4 linked regions of the Oryzias latipes genome follow. The protein of the gene in region 1 interacts with the protein of each later gene in a pairwise test. Links are inferred from orthologs where the notes say so. Each region holds a gene or a part of one and is shown in the gene's direction. Other genes may lie near its edges.

What was found.
Region 2: the proteins of ngly1 (region 1) and rad23b interact in binary tests that used the Homo sapiens proteins (3 or more experiments, as listed by UniProt). The two-hybrid records come from large-scale screens. The link is inferred for Oryzias latipes from reciprocal best matches to the Homo sapiens genes NGLY1 and RAD23B.
Region 3: the proteins of ngly1 (region 1) and gucd1 interact in binary tests that used the Homo sapiens proteins (3 or more experiments, as listed by UniProt). The two-hybrid records come from large-scale screens. The link is inferred for Oryzias latipes from reciprocal best matches to the Homo sapiens genes NGLY1 and GUCD1.
Region 4: the proteins of ngly1 (region 1) and trafd1 interact in binary tests that used the Homo sapiens proteins (3 or more experiments, as listed by UniProt). The two-hybrid records come from large-scale screens. The link is inferred for Oryzias latipes from reciprocal best matches to the Homo sapiens genes NGLY1 and TRAFD1.

Annotation. Positions count from the first base shown.
Region 1 is NC_019869.2:19,041,620-19,045,788, reverse strand, and holds part of ngly1 (peptide-N(4)-(N-acetyl-beta-glucosaminyl)asparagine amidase), read left to right. Parts: intron 1-1,723; coding exon 1,724-1,886; intron 1,887-1,959; coding exon 1,960-2,179; intron 2,180-3,602; coding exon 3,603-3,724; intron 3,725-4,169. UniProt on the Homo sapiens protein: Specifically deglycosylates the denatured form of N-linked glycoproteins in the cytoplasm and assists their proteasome-mediated degradation. Cleaves the beta-aspartyl-glucosamine (GlcNAc) of the glycan and the amide side chain of Asn, converting Asn to Asp.
Region 2 is NC_019870.2:9,289,201-9,293,896, forward strand, and holds the start of rad23b (UV excision repair protein RAD23 homolog B), read left to right. Parts: upstream 1-1,459; 5' UTR 1,460-1,604; coding exon 1,605-1,670; intron 1,671-2,161; coding exon 2,162-2,243; intron 2,244-3,835; coding exon 3,836-3,915; intron 3,916-4,696. UniProt on the Homo sapiens protein: Multiubiquitin chain receptor involved in modulation of proteasomal degradation. Binds to polyubiquitin chains.
Region 3 is NC_019867.2:25,327,025-25,331,893, forward strand, and holds the start of gucd1 (protein GUCD1), read left to right. Parts: upstream 1-1,632; 5' UTR 1,633-1,984; coding exon 1,985-1,991; intron 1,992-2,086; coding exon 2,087-2,171; intron 2,172-2,253; coding exon 2,254-2,419; intron 2,420-2,495; coding exon 2,496-2,587; intron 2,588-2,662; coding exon 2,663-2,904; intron 2,905-4,013; coding exon 4,014-4,105; 3' UTR 4,106-4,869.
Region 4 is NC_019867.2:12,247,547-12,252,369, forward strand, and holds the start of trafd1 (TRAF-type zinc finger domain-containing protein 1), read left to right. Parts: upstream 1-1,586; 5' UTR 1,587-1,798; intron 1,799-2,288; 5' UTR 2,289-2,302; coding exon 2,303-2,346; intron 2,347-2,438; coding exon 2,439-2,574; intron 2,575-3,551; coding exon 3,552-3,605; intron 3,606-3,765; coding exon 3,766-4,204; intron 4,205-4,350; coding exon 4,351-4,635; intron 4,636-4,708; coding exon 4,709-4,773; intron 4,774-4,823. UniProt on the Homo sapiens protein: Negative feedback regulator that controls excessive innate immune responses. Regulates both Toll-like receptor 4 (TLR4) and DDX58/RIG1-like helicases (RLH) pathways.

The DNA of each region.
Region 1 (4,169 bases):
GGGAAAAGGCCGTCAAAGCTGCATGAGAGGCGTTGTCCCTTAACAGCAGAGGACTAGTTTACATCAGTACCAGGGAAAAGTTTCCTGAAACTTTTGTTAACTACTTAAATGTGCCAAAATCAGCAGAAAAAAACAGTTTTAGGAGCCTATCACGGGCTTCAAGGTGCTAGACAGGCCTAAACTGTCCCCTTTTGGATCCATAAGGTCTGACAGAGCAGTAGGCAGAACGCAGATGCTTTGTGCTTATTTGCTCTTGTCTTTCTTTGACCTGATGGGGGCAGGCTTGAGCTCGCCTGACTCAGTCAGTGTGAATGTTGCATCGCTAGCTCGCATGTCTGTAACTCCTCGCAGTCAGTCGGAAGCCAGGCAAGCTTCTGTCAGTGGGGGCTCATCTTTTGGAGAGCGGGTGTCCAGCTGTGAGTGAATTCTTACTCACTCAGTATGTGTACACTTTGTGTGCTGTTGACTGTGTGATGGGACTTCCTGTTGTGTGAGTGTCTAAGTTTGTCGTTCCTTTTGATGGGAAAGATAGTTCAGCCGTGTAGGTGTGGGATACTGTTTGAAGACTCATCGTGTAGGTGAGGATGCCAACTGTGGACTTGATCTTTTGATTGTTCTGGAAAAATAAACATACTTTAACCATTTTGAGGAGCTTTAACATTCAGGACAGCTGCTCTTAGGGAATGTTTTTGCTTTCATTCAAATTTAAGATAGAAAATCACTCTGAAATGGGTATGTGGAAACTTGATTGACATGTAATCGTCCAATTGAGGCTCTGAAACGGCCTTAGTGGGTGTGTTCCAACAACTGACATACCTGTCTGTTGAAAGGAAGTGTTCATTGTAGAGTAGTGCTGGGAGAACAGGTTTTAAGGTGAAATCAACAAGTGACGTGACGACAAGCTGCATCCATCAGATATGTCCTTCAGTCTTGATGCAGACAGAATAGCTATGGAGGGATATTTTTCTGTTCTCCCTGTTCCAAAAGGAAACCCAGAAGTTCCAACTGTTGCAGTTCCTCTAACCACCACTGGTAGCTGGTTTCAAAAGAGATACATTCTTAAACAAACTAGATAATCCAACTTTGCGCTTGGAAAACGTAGCGCTTGTTTGAAAAATAATTTAATGTTTATAAAATTGTATGTTTCTTTACAACAGCTCTATATTTTTAACTTGTTGGTCTGATCAGAATCAGTGTATTAGATTACACAGACTTTGGCCTACAGGTACAGCAGTCAGTCTCTGACTTAAGACTCGTCGGTTCGCTCTGGTCGCCTTCCTCTGTTAATGTGTCCCTAGAAAAGACTCTGAGCCCCACATATCTCCCGGTGGCTCGGTGACTCTAAAGTGCTTAGGACCTTCTAAGAAGGGAGGGAGGGGGGGTAAAACACTATTATATAAGTATATTTCTGTATGTCTATGGCTCTAGACCAAGAGTAAAACCTTTCACTCCAAACACTTAGTGAAGCATTACAGTTTCTGAACAGGATCATTTCTAGTTGAAACAGATTCAGAACTACCGGTAATTCACTTTGCATAAACTTTCAATTTTTCCCCTTCTCTGCCATGAATTGACAGTGGTGTTCAGACTGGTAATTTCTGGGGGCATCATATTTGCATTGACTGAGTGGATCACTCTCTGCATCACTGAGCAGCAGCACATTTTGTTCAATTTATGATGATGGTCCTCTAAGCTGTGCTCTCTGATCTGCTTTGCTTCCCAGGAGAGCAGCATGAGCTTCTTCCTGATCCTTCAGTCCAACTTTCAGCACGTGCTGCAGTATGAGAGCCCAGAGCTGCAGCAGAAAGCTCTCAGTGTGATTCCTCAGCAGAAGCTGTCGGACGCTGCCGGGCTCGGGCTGAACCAGGCCAGAGAGGCCGACCCAGGTGAGACATTGGCCGTTCACAGGAGCCGCTCATACACATAGGTAGCTGGTGAACGCAGCTTGTGTGTCTTCAGGATGCAAGCTGGGAACAGAAGACTTCTTGGTACTGGAGCTGCTTCGCTGGTTCAAACAGAGCTTCTTCTCCTGGGTGAACTGTCTGCCTTGCAGCCACTGTGGAGGCCCCACCCAGAACGCTGGCTCCCTCAGCCCCACCACCGACGACCTCCACTGGGGAGCTCAGCGAGTGGAAAATCATTTCTGCCAGAGCTGTCGGCTCTCCACCAGATTCCCCAGGTGGGTCCATATTCCTTGACTTGGAAGACAAAGTTGGGTGATATCTTAGTCTTTCGTGGCTTTGTTCTACTGGGAGAAAAAAAAAGAGCTCCCAGGTATTATCAAATGATGTATAAAGCATCTGTAGGAAGCAGTATCGGCTTGTGTTGCTGGAGAATTTAAATGTTCGCCTCAGCTGCTGTTTCCTGGAAACCTGTGACATGCTGCTCAGGCCACACCCACAACATTGCAACAACAGAACCAAGTCCAAAGCGGATTAGAGCTGACGGAAGATGTTACAAACTGAGACCAGGGGCTGCATTTATAAACGTTGCGTACGCACAAAAGAAGGCGTACGCCACTCTCTACGCAATAGTTGAGATTTATAAAAAGCAAACTTGACGGGAAAATTTGCGGTCCTTCACGCAAGCTCTGACCCAGGCGTACGCACAAAAACGGGTGAAATGAGAAACGGCGACACCGTCGGCAGATGGAAGAAACACGTGAAAGTGAAAATGACAATACTGCCTCTCAGAAATAACATGAAGACTTCACAAAACAAGTCTTACAATTAACAGCCTACACGAAGACCCGTTTGATCGATCAGCAGTGAAACAAAAAAAAAAAAAACGAAAATTACAACAGAAATTCAAATGAACACATATTTGCAGAAAGAAAAGTGAAATATGTTCCACAATATTGGCATGTTGTGCAATTCATCCTCATAAATAATATAGTTAACAGAACGAAATAATGTACAAAACTGATATTCCCGTCAATGTGTCCGTCTGGCGGAGCAGATATAGGTGCGGGCGTGCGGACGGACGGACGGACAGACGCACTAATTGTCCACTGGGGAAAGTTGTTTTCATATTAAAACATTTCTTCATAAACTATGGAATTATGGTATTCATGAATATGCCTTTAGTTTGTTTTATTTTTGATAAAACAATGTATGGCGTATGTCTCGACCATTCAGAAAGCAACAAGAAATTACATTTGCGCTGAACAATTTCCCATTTCCACGTCGATTATTACCGACATTTGTAGCTTGTCAGATGCAATTAAATGGAGGGAAATAAAATGCCCCATCACAATGCGTAATGACGCACAATGGCTGATCTTGCGCTCTTAGAAGATGTGGCAAATGGAAGAATTCGGAGTGAACGCATCTTTAGACAGCAAGAAGACGTGCTGGCAAACGAGGACGAGTGGTTTAGGAGCCGGTTCCGACTTCCTCGAGCCGTCCTGTTGGTGCTTTTGGGGGTGTGTCACCCGGTGCATCTGGCGCGTCGTGTCCCCCTGCGCGTCAGTCACCACTCCACTTAAGGGATTCCCCAATTATTGCCGCCAGTCTGTCATCAAGAGGGGTCAGCTCCGGTGTTTTATAAATGAGGCCCCAGGTGTTTTCTTCATCCTGCTGATTGTTTCTTCTCAACTTCAGATACAACAACCCTGAGAAGCTGCTGCAGACCAGGAGAGGGCGCTGTGGAGAGTGGGCAAACTGCTTCACGTTGTGCTGCAGAGCCATGGGTCTAGAGGCCAGGTACATCTGGGACAGCACAGGTACGCCTGAGATCGGTCTGCGTGAGTCTCTGTAAAACCTGATCTTTGTAGGAAGGCCTGGTTGCCAGGGAAACCAGTTTTCTTTGTTGCTCAGTTCTGGGATAACGCAATAACACCTTGATGTACAGTTGGACGCTTTATTCCAGCTAAGAAAGTGTGGCCTTATTCAGATAATCTGCTCAGAGCTATAGAATAACAATTTTAGTTAACTAGCTTAGTTTGATAATTTGTGATCCTTTTTATCACTGTGTGTTGATCTGTACTTTTTAAATGAACTGGTTGAAAATGGAATTTTAGGTAAATTTGAACTTTCTCTGGGGACCTGCTCACTGGAAAAACCAGTTTTTATGTTTACATATACAGGATTAACCAGATTACCACACCTCCACTGTCTTGCATGGGGAATCCCGGTTCCCTACTTCCAGCAGCATCTCTCTGTTCAAAG
Region 2 (4,696 bases), on another chromosome or scaffold:
ATGAGGGGATGGAGCGAGAGCCAAAGATGAAAGAGGGGGTGCAGAGAAGGAAGCAAAATGTCTTTCTGAAGGCCTCAATGAGTCAAAGCAGCAAAGATCTGGCTGTTTGATGCAACCCTTCAACAGAATTTCTTGTTGTCTTAAAGTAAAAAAAAAAAGATTTCTACTCAGGCACAACATCAAAACCACCTTCCTGATTTGGAGCTCCTCTCATGTTACAAAAATAGCTCAGACTTATTGGGCCGTAGACGAGACTTCTCAAGGTTTCTCCTGGCGTCACGCTCCTCGACAAGAGCTGCAGATCCTGTGGGTGGTGGTAGTGGGTGGGTGGGGGGATCCAGGCCTCCATCACACTCCTGTGTCTTAGCCTCCCATGGAGGCTCACGAATAACGTAGACAACACCTGTAACCCTTGTGCTATCCTAGGCACTTTACTATTGGGAGTTGGGTCATCTAGACCCACTAGACAGTGCTCTGAACCTTTTTTCTTCAGTGATTTGTGATCTTCACTGGTGTCCATGGATTACATGAAATCTTTCCACCTTTATCCACCTTTGTCATGGTAGGGAGAACACGTCAATGTAAGGGTGGGGTCATCTAAGATAGCACAAGGGTTAAATCTCACAGTGTGATGATAAGCACCATAACTTTATGATCCACCAAATGTTTCCTAAACATTTGTTTACAACACTGTGGGTTGCGTTTAGGGGCGTATAGATTAATCGGCTTAAGCCATGAATCAATTTTTATTCCCACGACCTACCAGATCAATCGGTTTGAGCCAAGTTGTTATTCAAATTATAGAATCATTTTAAAAATAACTAAATTGATTATTTCGATATTTGCAAATACCATTTGGATTGAGGCACGGTAGGTTTCCAAGAGGAAACCTGTGTATGCACAGGGAGAACATACAAAATCCACACAGCAAGGTTCCAGCAGGGATTTGAACCTCTCCCAGTGGGGCAAGAGTGCTAACCACTATACAATTGTGCAGCCTACACCATTTAATACGTGAATTTAAAAAATAATTTAGTGTCAAAGTGCTAATTATTTGCTCCAATATTTGTGCTGTATATATTTTTTTTATTGTTATTGTTATGCTATTTTACTTTTTAAATCCTATTTAATTTAATTTTGTTTAAACAGCTGTGTGTTTAATGTTTAAATGACATGAAATCTGTGGTATTACTTTTCAGTATTACTTACTTATTCAGAGTGTTAGGAAAAAATAACATTCTGTTTTGATTAATTTTTATGTGAAAATGTGTATATATATTGAAAAAAACATATAGAATATAATGAAGAAAAATATATATAGAATATCCTCCACAATCAAATCAATTTAACCGTGGTGGGACCAACTGATTTGGATTTATTGTCCAGCAGATTATTTGATTAAGTTCAACGTGTAGCCACCAGGGGCGCTAGTGTGTTTTTTCATGAGGGGGGGGGGTTACCCGGTTTTACCGCCACAGAAGAAGAGAACCGAAAAATCATGGCGGCTGACAGTTTGTAATGAGCCAACGGAAAAAAGCGATTTCTTTCAAGTTAGATTTACAGATTTTTTTAAAATTGGAGCCAGAAGTAAACCGACCTACAACATGCTGATAACTTTAAAGACTTTGCAACAGCAGACCTTCAAAATCGACATCGATGAGGAAGAAACGGTGAGAAATATGCGCGAGCGGGAGTTGTTTATGTGGAGCAACTAAAACAGCAGTAAATGTTTTTTTGTTTGTTTTTGTTAAAAACATATTGACTAGAGTCATTACGCTAGCAAAATAATACTCTTTTGATTTAAAATAACATACAAAAACTCAGGCAAAATGTTGTTGTCTGTGCTTAAATGTAATGACGATAGTAAAGTTGTTTCTATTTACACGCCAGCCTTCGCACTGTTCCTAAACATTTATGACAGAGATCTTTTACTCCGAACTTTTACTTTCGATAAACTTTAAGGACATGCGCGTTATTCCTCTAAATCTGTTGCTAACAGCTAAGATTCAATGGTTGATGTCTGTAGCTAGATTTTAGAGGAGGTTTCCTTCTTAACAACAGAAACTTGGACCTTATGGCTCCAGAAGTGCTGAGTCATCTCACTGTGTGTATTGTTGTTTACTGCTAGTCATTGTTGTCAGTGTTGTTGTTTCTTCTGCAGGTGAAGACGTTAAAGGAGAGGATTGAGCAGGAAAAGGGGAAGGAGAGCTTTTCAGTGGCCGGGCAGAAGCTGATCTACGCCGGTATGATGGGTCCCTCCCTGCCTCTTTCTTCCTCTGAGTACTCACGTGATGTTTAGACCGGTTCTGATCAGTTTGCATCCATAGTCCTGGCAGGTTAAGATCCGGAAAGATCTGTACTCTTTGATTTGCCTAAAAGTTTTTTTTGTATATTTCTCTGCATATTTGACACAAAATTGCTTCAGATCTTAAACTGTCGGGTCTATAAAGTCCAGAAATCTAGAATTTTCAGCCTAAAATATTTAAAAATGCATTTAATTTGATGTCATTTGTCTTAAATTATGTATTTCTTTGCTGTGTTGTTTAATAGTGACCACAAGAATGATGATACGCTGCAAACACACTTTTGTTGACACACAAGTACTTTTTGGTACATAAAGTTTCACCAAAACCCATAAAATAGTTATTTTAGGTTCTGTTCCTCAATATTTTAAATGTGTCTTAAAGCGAACTGTGCTTTTATTTTGACATGCATGTTACAGCCTCAAAGACGCTGAAAAGAAACTTTAAAAAGACTACAAATTGATTGCTGACGTTATGTAAAATGATTGATTTAAGGCGATGACGATGTCTGCTGCTTCTGTTTGTATTCTAGAAGAATAGTTTTTTTGTCAATGTGGGCAAAAAAGTGTTAAAATTCTGACTGTCGTTACAAACATAGTTTAGTTTTGACTTCAGAATAAAATAAAATCGCTAGATACCTGCACTTTATGTTTTACATCAGGGTGAAGGGATCCAACTGGATCCTATGTTAGGCTAACCCGGGTCCGGCAAATTCTATGTTCAAATCAGCTTCACCCAGGAAGCATTGAATCAAATCGAACATTATTTAGAAAGTGCTTTTCCTACAAGTGCTTTACATTAAAGAAAAACCAAATAAATAATATAAAAACAAGCACGAAAATTAAAATAGAACCCCCTCCCCAGACCTACACACAGCCCCCTCCCCCCCTAACTGATGGGGATCGACAATGGGAAACAGGCTTGCGCGTCTGTGCACATTTGGACTCCAAGTTGAGTACAGAAATCATTGTGTCACCTTTAGAGCTCACATGAGCACAAAAAAAGCACCAAAACGTAAAGCTTCCACACCAATCCTTTCCAAAAAATACAGTTTTCCCATGATTCATTGGTGAGAAGACAGATGGAGGTTAGCGAACCACTTCTGTAGCTTCTTATGCTTTTAAAAGAACTTTCTTGATTCGATTGATGCATTTGTGGCTCAGTAGTTGCTTGTTTTTCAGCCTCATTTGATCCAAATCATCAACAGAACGGGACTGGGCTTCAATTTACTGCTTTATGCCGGATTATTATGGGTTTTTTTAAGTCAATGATTGACAGATGTGTTTATGCTTTTCTGCTTTAATGGGTAGAGCGCTGCAGTTGAAGTGAATATCATGAAAAATAGGAGTCAACAAAAGATTTTGGTTGAGAATAAAGATAAATGCTTAGAAATTAACTTTTAAAAACAGATTTTGTGTAAATGACCATCATTTGTGTGACCGGCACAGATCCTCGTTTTCTAGTTTTCAGAGCGAGTAAAACCCAGACGGATGTCGTCCATCCCTCAGAAATCCTTTTCTGCTTCTTTCCAGGAAAAATCCTCAGCGACGACACGGCCCTCAAAGAATACAAAATCGATGAGAAGAACTTTGTGGTCGTCATGGTGACAAAGGTCGGTGAATTACAAACCGCTGGTGAATTGCAAGCTTGCTTGGAACCTTTATATCCCTCCGTTTTGTTCCTTTATTCGTAAGCGAATCCCTTTGGTGACTTTCTCCTCTTTTTTTTCACACCGTGTCTGAGTGTCAACCGCCTCTGCTGGTGTGCGGGGCTGCACACCTGTCTGATGCTGAGCTCCTAAAACCTCCACAAAAGCAACTTTCTTTAATTCACCCCCTAAAATATCAAAGATTGGAATAATTTCACTAAAAGCAGAGGTGGTCTTATGTCATCACACTTGTTTAGAAGTTCCTCTATGCTTTTATTTTGGCGGGTGGAATTGAAGGGGAGGAATACAATTTGGAGATTCAAACTTTTGTTTTTTAAGATCATTTTTTTGTTTTAGCTGCTGTGCTTTCATGCGGACAGATGCTAACAGATTTCAGATCTGTTAAAAGAAACAAAATTCACTTCCTGTTTTAGGATGGAGTCTCATTTAGCGGTATTGTGTGTGTGTTTTTTTGTTCCAATCGTGATTGTAACTTATAGCGAATCTCGATGCAGAGCAGCCGTTTTTTTCCTTTGCTGCTGAGGGGATGTGGGAGGGCAGCACCCACCGCTACAAAAAAAAAAGAAAAGGCGACAACTTTATTTTAGCTGCCAAAAGACAAGTTTAAATCTTTATTCTAAACACAATAATGCAAAAAGGATGGGAAGAAATTTAATATCAATAAAATGTTTGAGGCTGCACAGCAAGTTTATGAAAAACCATTAAGTTCTCATTATTATTCAGA
Region 3 (4,869 bases), on another chromosome or scaffold:
GGACAAGTGTCTTTTATACAGATAACCAGTTCAAAGAAGATACATAAATACTGATGGCCAGTTCTGGACAGAAGAGCTTCTTAAAGGAGTGGTAACAGGTCTGTGAGGAACCGAATTCTTGCTTATTTGTAGGAGTTAATTTATCAATTCTTTCATTAAAATCCTACTATGTGATTTCCTCGATTGTTTCCCCGCATTCTGTGTCTTGTAGCTGAAGTTTACCTAACTCCTCATATTCTGCACTATTCTAAAAATAATTAAAAAAAATTGTGTGATTTCCTTGATTTTTACTTCTGTCTCACTCACTCTGAACTGTCAGCTGAGACAGTTCAGAGTGAGTGTGGCGTTTAAATTTTAGCATTCAAATACACACCTAGGCACAATTTCGAGTCATATATTAACCGGTTAAGCATGTTTTCGGGAAGAGGTCAAGAGTGCCCAGAGAAAACCTACACTTACACGGGGAGTACATGCAAACTTCACACAGGGAGGTCCCAGGGTCCCCTGGCTGTGAGGCAAGAGGCGCCAACCACTGTACCACTTTGCAGCCCGCTCTCTGTACAAAGCTGACAACAACATCACAACAAGTCCTGCTACAACGTTTAACTTTAATTTTGTGCTTGAAAAATATGCATAAAAGCATTTAAAGAAATAAACTAGGGGTGTAACGAGTAATTGACTTAATCAATGAATCGATTTATAGTACTACAATCCAACTGGATTGATCTGTCTGAGGGAAATTTTTAATCAAACCAACCTGAACATTATCAAGATGAAATAAGTCAATCATATCAATATTGGAAAATGCAGCACAGTATGTTTATTTTACTATTACAATAAAAAAACAAGTACATCACAGTGGACAACACACATGTGATGACAGTAAAAAACGATCAGTCCATCATTCCAGTCCAATGTATGGAAACACTTAAAATTTAACAAAGACATGTGACCATACAGTCTGGTAGAATGTTCCAATAATGTTCCCTTTGGATTATTTTGATGTGGAAAAACAACAGCAGGCTGAACTTTAGGAAACTAAAATGTAAATGGTTTTGACATGTATTCTTGTTTGTACACATACACATAATTTACAATTGCTTATCTTGCAAGAAACACAAGGTATCTGGAAAGCTTCACCTGCACTGTTCAGTACCAGCTATTTATCTCTGAATTACACTGGTGGATTTTTGGCTAAATATGTCCCAGATCGATTTTCAGTTATTCAAATCCAGTCGGATCCTTACAATCGAACCAAAATCGAGAGGGAATCTAACCAGCAACCACAAATTATGATATGGATGAATTGTTAAAATGAATTGGTACAAAAACATGGAAATGTGTCGACAGGTTCCAAAGAGGACACGAGAACTTTGAAGAAGGGTAGAAATAGCTTATAGATAAAGATGTTTCTACTTTTCTTTAATGACTTCTTTGACTATCTCTGTCTGTCTGTCTGTCTGTCTGTCTGTCTGTCTGTCTGTCTGTCTGTCTCTCTGTCTCTCTGTCTCTCTGTCTCTCTCTCTCGCTCTGTCTGTCTGTCTCTCTCTCTCTCGCTCTGTCTGTCTGTCTCTCTCTCTCTCTGTCTAACATTGCATTAAATTGCCTTGAGTGAGTCCTCCACACCGCACGGGGGCAGTAGAGCAACAAGCTTGCTAAACACGACGCTTCTCCGTGGGCAGTGTTGGGCCACTAGCAAACAACTGAAAAAGTGAGGAAGACGGTGAAGGCGCTGGCAGGACAATAACAGCGGAGTCTGTTTTTTGGAAATCCTTTTTATATTTTTGCCATGTATTGTACTTGTCAATAATCGTATGTTTGGCGGGGCTGTGTCCAAACGCGCCGTTTTCACCGTGTACCCGGCATATTTCCTCTTTAGTTGGCATAGATGAGGAAAGGCAGCCCCGCCTGCAGGGGGGGGAAACAGGACCATCGAGTTTGCTTCGAGTTAGCAAGCCGTCCTTAAAAGACTGAGCGCAGCAGAATGACAGGTACGAAATGCGACACATCCATTTAACCCGGGTTAAATCTTCCCATTCACACACACAGCAGCAGTCTTTACGCGATGTTTGGTTCTCTCACTCAGAGGATGCCATCCTGCTGAGTGTTCCTGTCATCCGGCAGCTCTACCACTGGGACTGTGGCTTAGCCTGCTCCAGAATGGTCCTAAAGTAAGTTCACCTCTGACCTTTCACCAAGAATCAGTAACAGTAAGACCACCTTAAAACAAGACCATGACCACGTGGACTGCAGGTACCTCCACCCTTTGAGTGATGAGGAGTTTCAGAGAGCATGCTGGGAACTGAAGCTCACAGAGAGCGTGTGGACCATTGACCTGGCCTACCTCATGAGCCATCTAGGAATCAAACACTGCTTCTACACACAGACTCTTGGAGTGGATAAAGGCTTTAAAAACCAGGTACTTCTCCGAGTCTCTGCTGTTTGAGAACACTCCTGGAAGTTCTGATTATCATGCTGTTTACTTTGTGTTGCAGTCCTTTTATAAAAAGCATTTTGACACAGAGGAAGACCGAGTGAACGAACTCTTCCTAAAGGCGGAAAGCAAAGGTGTGATTGTCAGGAAGTGGTGAGTTTCAGCTCATTCCCCCGCATGTTTGCTGCCTTGTGGAGGTCATGTCTAACGTGTGCCATCCTCCCACAGTTCAGTGACGGTTCAGCAGATCCAGTCGCACCTGGAGCAGGGCCACGTCGCCATAGTGCTGGTCAACGCCGTGATCCTGACCTGTGAGCTGTGCTCCTCTCCTGTCAAGTACTGCTGCTTCCTGCCCGTGGGCCAGAAGTGTTTCTGCAGGAAGCCGGAGTACCAGGGTCACTTTGTGGTTTTATGTGGTTTCAACAAGACAGCTGGCAGCATCTTTTACAACAACCCTGCTTATTCTGACCGTAAGTTTAAAAAGCTCTTCTGTCCAAAAAGACATGTATCTTGATCATTTTCACCCATGCTGGTTGAGAAGAGCTGCACATTTAAGTTCATTTTAGTTACAAAGGGTGCATAAGTAGCATTTTTAAAATGCATGTGTCCATTATGTCATAAAGTCCCACTCCAAACATCTTGTGATCTATTTTAAAAGCGTTCCCGGTGATCTTTTAACCATGATTGTGCAATTTATAGCCCAAATCAAAAAACCTGTATCAATTTTTAGAACATAGTTTCTGCAGAGCGACAGGAGTTCAATAAAAACTCACCTCTGAGTTGTCAGTACGACCGTTGGCCAACCCCGCCCTCTTCACATCACCCATAACTGAGGGCTCTGTTAACACGCTCTCCTGCTAGCTTATAGCCGCTCACACCCCCAACTTAAATGGCGAGCAATATTGGAGTTATATCCAGCCATACTGTTTTGAGCCAGATGCCAGCTCAGACGAGGAGAACAAAGACAAACATGGATCTATGTGTCTGCAAGTGGATGCATCAGAATGGAGCGGAGCAGGTAGTCTGTGGTCCGCCCAGTGAACAAATACAATCTTTATCAAACAGAAAATTTTTTTTTAGTCTGCTCCTGATTCACAATTTAAATGAAGAAATTGTCAGACATGCAACTTTAAGCTTATGTTCAGAAAAATGCCATAAGAACTTGCAAAACCACCAAAAACCTCGTTTTCATTAGTGAGTCTTTAAGCAGATTCATGGCTTTTTTTGAACAATGAACTAAAATGCTCCAATAGCAACAATTAGATTTAGAATGATTTTTGTTTTGATTTACCTCTTAAGTTCCATCTACAGAATTTAAATTCTGTCATTTCTTATTTGCAACTTTTTGTTTGATGTCTGTTTGTATTCTCTGAAACTTTCAACTGTAAATTTTTGATTTACTCAGGTTTTTTTTCTCGTGAATTCCCCAAAATTTTCAGTTTACAGATGCTGTCTAAAAGGTCAGACTTTGAATCTTTGGACTGCTTCAGACCGGCTGAACCAGCAACCTTTTTTTTTTTTTCTTTCGTCTGTGGAGTTCTGATGGAAGCATTTCAGGAAAACATGTTTTTTCTTCCAGGTGTGTGCTGCACCAGTGTCAGTAACTTCGAGGAGGCCCGGCAGAGCTATGGAACAGACGAGGACATCCTCTTCATCTACAAGGAGAGTTGATGGACGCCAAAGGAGGATGCCATCGTTTTTTGTGTCATGGTGACGCTGCAGGTCTGCCCTCTAGTGGCTCAACATCTCCTCCTTCGTTTGTAAATAAAGACACGTCTGACCGAACGTCTGAGGACGTCCCAGCTCGAAGGGCAACTTGATTTCAAGGGGATGGTCTTCGACCAATGGGACGGTCCAGTTTGTTTTTATTTTTAAAGACTTTGATTCCGGGAGTCGACTTCTAATCTGGTGAAAATGTGGGGAACCTGGAATATGACTTAACAGGAAGTAACGTGCAGATAATTTAGGGTTTCTATTGAAAACATGCAGCATTGTGTGCCGGCTGTGTTTGATGTGAAGCTGCTCAGTCCTCCACATGCCTTCAAAAGCCTCCACGGCATCGAGGAAGAGGAGTCCACAAACGGAGGAAAACGGTTAACAGGTGTTTTTGCGAGTCTCAGGTAAACAGTAAAGCAAACAGCAGCGCTTCGTCAATGCAACAATCACTACAGTGATAAATCCCAAGAAGATATTCGTTCAGAGCAAACTGCTTGCTGTGTTTGTTCCATCGCCATGGTAACGCACAGTAAAAAAACAGTGTTGTGCTGGTCCAGCTGTCAACATCAGGTCATATCCTCACCGTCTCAACTTCATTTTTTGGTTTAAAAAAAAGGCTAATGTCTGTTTTTTGCACTACAATTTTCATACAAAACACAATAGTGTTATTTAAAGAAAAACATGCTTTTCTAGATCTATAAAATGTCGACTTCCTCTAG
Region 4 (4,823 bases), on another chromosome or scaffold:
AAAAACAACATATTTTTCCACAGGACTGAATTTTATATTGGACTAAAAAGCAAAACCCTGCTTCCTTTTTCATGACTTGAAATATAGTGTTTGAGTTGTTTAAGCATTTTATAGTTATTGATTATAACTATAGAGACTATAGAGTTACAACGAATGACCAAATGTCCTCCTTACGTACAAGGAAGTGCAACAGGAAGGCTTTCAAAAAAGGTAGTAAGCTTGTAAGAGCACAAAAACGAAGGTAGGCGGAAATCTGAACAGGAGTTTAGTGTATAAACCTACAAGATAAATCTACTTTTATGGTTCTTGTAATATTTCCACGCTTCACAATTCAATATAAAGAGATGCAGCGAGTCATCAACAACAAGAAGGCCACAAATAAGGCAGGGAGTAGCTGTTTTGATTTAGCTTCACAATATTGTTTTGCACATTTTCTAAAAATGCTAAAATATGAGACAGCATACAAAGTTACATTTGTCTTTTTTTTCCATTTTTTTTTAGTTCATATCAGCAGCTTATAATGCCTCTTTGACGGAGATATAGAGGGGATCGATATGGTAGAAACAATCATGCAAACAGAATGATCAGTAATGTCGTTTTATTTGATTTCTACGGTGATGATTCATTGTGTACAGACACACGTTTGTCCCTGTGCAGCTAATGCTCTTGCCGAATGTTTTCCAGAGTGTGATCTGCAAAAGTTGGACCTAAACTTTTATCAGAGAATTATTTTGCTAATGGATTAAATGCATCACAAAGAACTAAGACGTGGGCTTCATCATGCATTCTTTAGAGAAAGTGTTTTTTAAACCTAAACATGGACGGCAAAACTAACAGTTTGAGCACATGTTTAAATCGTTTTCTTCTTTTAGGGCACTAGTTAAAATCTCAAGTATTCTTTCTTTTTACAGAATATTCAAAAGGTTTGTCATTTACTCAGTTTTCTTTTATTCTGTATTTCTTTTTACAGCATGTTTTAAATGTTCTGTTACATCTTATTATCAAATTGTAAAGTGGTGACTTTACCTCTGAAATCTTGCAAGAAAAAGGGCTTGGAAGCAAATTTCCATTGTTTTTACAATATTTGTCTTGTCTTTGAGTTGAAGTTTGTAGGATTTCTACAACACATTCAAATATTTGCTGTACATATAATCAGTGTTTTATCTTAACAGAACTGTGCCTTACAATAAATTGTCCGACATGACATTATTGGTGAATCAAAATTTCAATAAAACATATTAGACAATACAGTGGGGAATCATGTCTTTTAAAATTCATGTCATGTTTTTCTTTCTCGTAGTTCTATGCAATGTCTATCAACATTATATATAATACATAATAGTAAACTCCATAAAAGTGTAAATTTTGAGAATTTGACTCAAGAATGCACCATTTAAAATTAATTTGTAGCGGAAAAACACGAATAAAAAAAAAGCATATTGAAGATACTTGCGATGTTGGATGTAGGATAAAGCATTACGCAGGATCTTTAAATCACCAATCAATTTTGAGTATTCACCTTGTGTTAATTTATGCCCTGACTTGTGTCTTGCGGGAAAAAAAAACCTTTAGATTTTGGTTACAGCTTTGTGTTACTCATAAAACCGATGACTCGTTTACTCTGTGATTGAGAGCGAGAATACGTGTAAACCGTATTTAGACATTCTGAAAAAGTCTGTGCCTGTAAGCCTTTACCCGGGGAGGAGATTAGGAGGGAGAAGGCCAGACGAAGGAAGAGGAAATGACAGTTTAGACTGGTTTTCATCTTTATCAAGTGAAAATATCCAACTGACAAAAGGTAAAATAAGAAACTACTATTATGAATTTTCGTTATACACAAAATCTATCGTAACATTAGCTGTATGACGAGATGTTCGTAAACTGTAGATGGATTTAGTTAGGTAATCATAATGCTACGCTAGCTAGCCCAATACAGACAAAACATTGTATTTTCTATTTAACTCAAGTCGTCCAAACCCCATTTTTGGTTAAGGTTCGTGTTCGGTGTTCTTCGGAATAAAATATTTACTGTCTTCCTGTAAACCATAAGAAGGGCTAAGTGAAACGGTTCTCGATTGGTTTCATTTTTTCCAAAACGATAGCCGCTCTTTAAACAAACCCTAAGCCTAGCCTAGCCCTATGATATAATAACAAAATGTTATAACTTATACGGTTACAGCTACACTACTAAAATAAATGTTAAAACCCAGAAGAAGATAAAATGTCCAGCTCGTTGGAGCAAAGATGAATGTCCCTTTCTGTTTTATGTTTATGGCTATTTGTTAAAGGTTTTTCTGAAGTCATGATGGCAGACGACGAAAACACCATCATGTATTGTGGCAACTGGTAAGTATGAATTTATTGTGACGCGAGTTTCTAATGCAGTTCTTCTTGGTGGCTAGCAGCCCCTTCTATTGTTGTTGTTTTTTGTTTTTAAGTAAACGTGACATCCCAGAGGCCAATTTCACCACCCACGAGATTCACTGTCGCAGAAACATAGCACTGTGTGACGTGTGCCAGGAGCCCGTACCCCGATCCGACCTCGAGGAGCACAAGCTGCAAGAACACACGGAGGTAGATATCTGAACTTAACACCAGCATGTACACGGATGCGGGGCCATTGGCTCTTTATCCAGTGATTTTGGGGAGGATCTTCCAGATGAAGCGCGATTGGGATGGTCATTTCCCCCTGATTCTAATGGGACTTTGAAAATATTGAGTGTCATCCAAAGTCTAAAATAATAGGGAGGGTGGGGCAATGCATTTCATTCAGGTAAACTTACCACTGTGCTGCAGGTAAATCCTCATAAATCCACTAATTGTAACTTTAAGATGCACTCAAATGAAAATCGTACTTTAAACACGTTCCTGTAGGATTTTTCTCTTGATGGATGACACATATAAATAAAATTAAGCTTAAAACTGCCTTTCTGGGTATTTTTCTTTATTCAAATCCTTGCGAATCAGGAGCAGAAAAAAAAAGGCTTGTTGTAATGTAGGACCTACTGCAGCAAGCCACCAGCTCCATGCTCTGCTCCATTCCGATGCATCCACATGTAGACACACAGATCCACGTATGTCTTTGTTTTCCTCGTCCAAGGTTGGCATTTGGGTCAAAACAGCTGGATGGCTCCAATATTGCTGGCCATTTTTGTTCCACCAGTAATGTTAGGTTGGATGTGTGAGGGCTAATAGCTTTTAAACAGATGGCTTATATACGGAAGTGGGGGCTGACTTGTTCTGCCGCAGAATTCCTTCATCAACTCAGAAGCAAATTTCGAATGCACTACTACAGAAACTACGTCCTAGAAAAAATAATAAATAAATAATTTTCGATTTTGGCTAAAAATTACATGCTTATAACTATAAGGCCACTGAAAACACTTCTGAAATAGATCAAAAGATGATTGAAGCGGGACTTTAAGCTTAAATTTTGAAACAGATATTTTCCGCTGCACCCACCAATGATATCAACTAAAGTTTGCTCTTAGAGAAATTATTGCAAAGTGAAACTCTTTAAAGTTTTCAATGTAAACTCCTTTTTTTTCCAGATTACATGCAAATGTGGAATGAAAGTTGAGAAAAATCATGTCGATGTTCATCAGGTATGGTCAGGAACAAAGATGCCTTTTTATCCATGCAAAGAATAACCAATGAATAATATGCAAATTCTTGTCTAAAAAGACTGTTTTGAGTAAAAGTACAGAATATTTTTCAGCTATGTTGTTATTTTATTTAAATGTTCCTGTTATTTGTTTCTTGCAGAATTCTGAATGCCCACAGCGACTGGTGTCCTGCCCGTACTGTGATCTGGAGCTTGCTTTTTCTCAGTCTAAGGAGCATGAGGACTATTGTGGTACACGGACTGAGCCTTGTCCACTCTGCAAGTGCAATGTGATGCTGCGTGAACAGGTTGTACATCCAGCCTTATGTGGAAGCCTCACACCACCTCAAGAGAAGAACAACAGCAGGATGAGCCGCACCGCAGCAGAGCGAGAGTCTTCCGATGCATGGTTTGAAGCTCACTCCATTCGAAACCTCCTCAGACCCCAAGAAAGGAGTCCGAAAAATAATAACATTGGTGCGTCAGCTCAACAGTCCTTTCCTCCTGCATTTAATCCTTCAATGTTCAACACAGCGAGAGAAACGCAGGCTTCAAGAGACTGGAAGAATGCTGCACCTCAAAACACAGGGTTTAGCCACTGTGAGTGCAATGTTTGCTTTATGTGTCGTGAGATGAGGCCATCAACATTATGTCTAGAACATTTAATTTAGATATTGAACTCATTCTTGCACTAGTAAAATCTGATTTCCTAAAATGGATGGGATAACATTTTCGGTTAATTGTAGGTCACAGTGATTTCCTGCATGGAAGCAGCAACAATGCCAAATCACACAGTGAGAGTCCATCAGACGAGGATTCCCCCGGCCTGGACTACATGTTGGCTCTCAGCCTGCAGGGGGATGGAGGACCAGGGGCAGGTGTGGAAGGCAACATGTGGAGCGACATCTGGGACCACAACATAGGGAAGTCTAACACATCAGCAAACCCTTCCTTTTCTCTTCCCAACAACAATTACTCCAACTTCAGTGGAGGAACGGTCACAAGCGCAGTCCGGGACTATGACCAAACAGGTTAGATCCGAGTATACCAGAACTTTTCTCATTGCTCTGCTGTTTGTTTCTCACAAAAACTTTTGTTTTGTAGATACCATGTTGCCTTGTGAGTTTTGTGAGGAGCTGTTTCCTGAAGATGACCTCATTTTGCATCAGGTTTGTGAATGTGTCTGGATGCATTTTTGACATTGCCATTTTTGTATTAA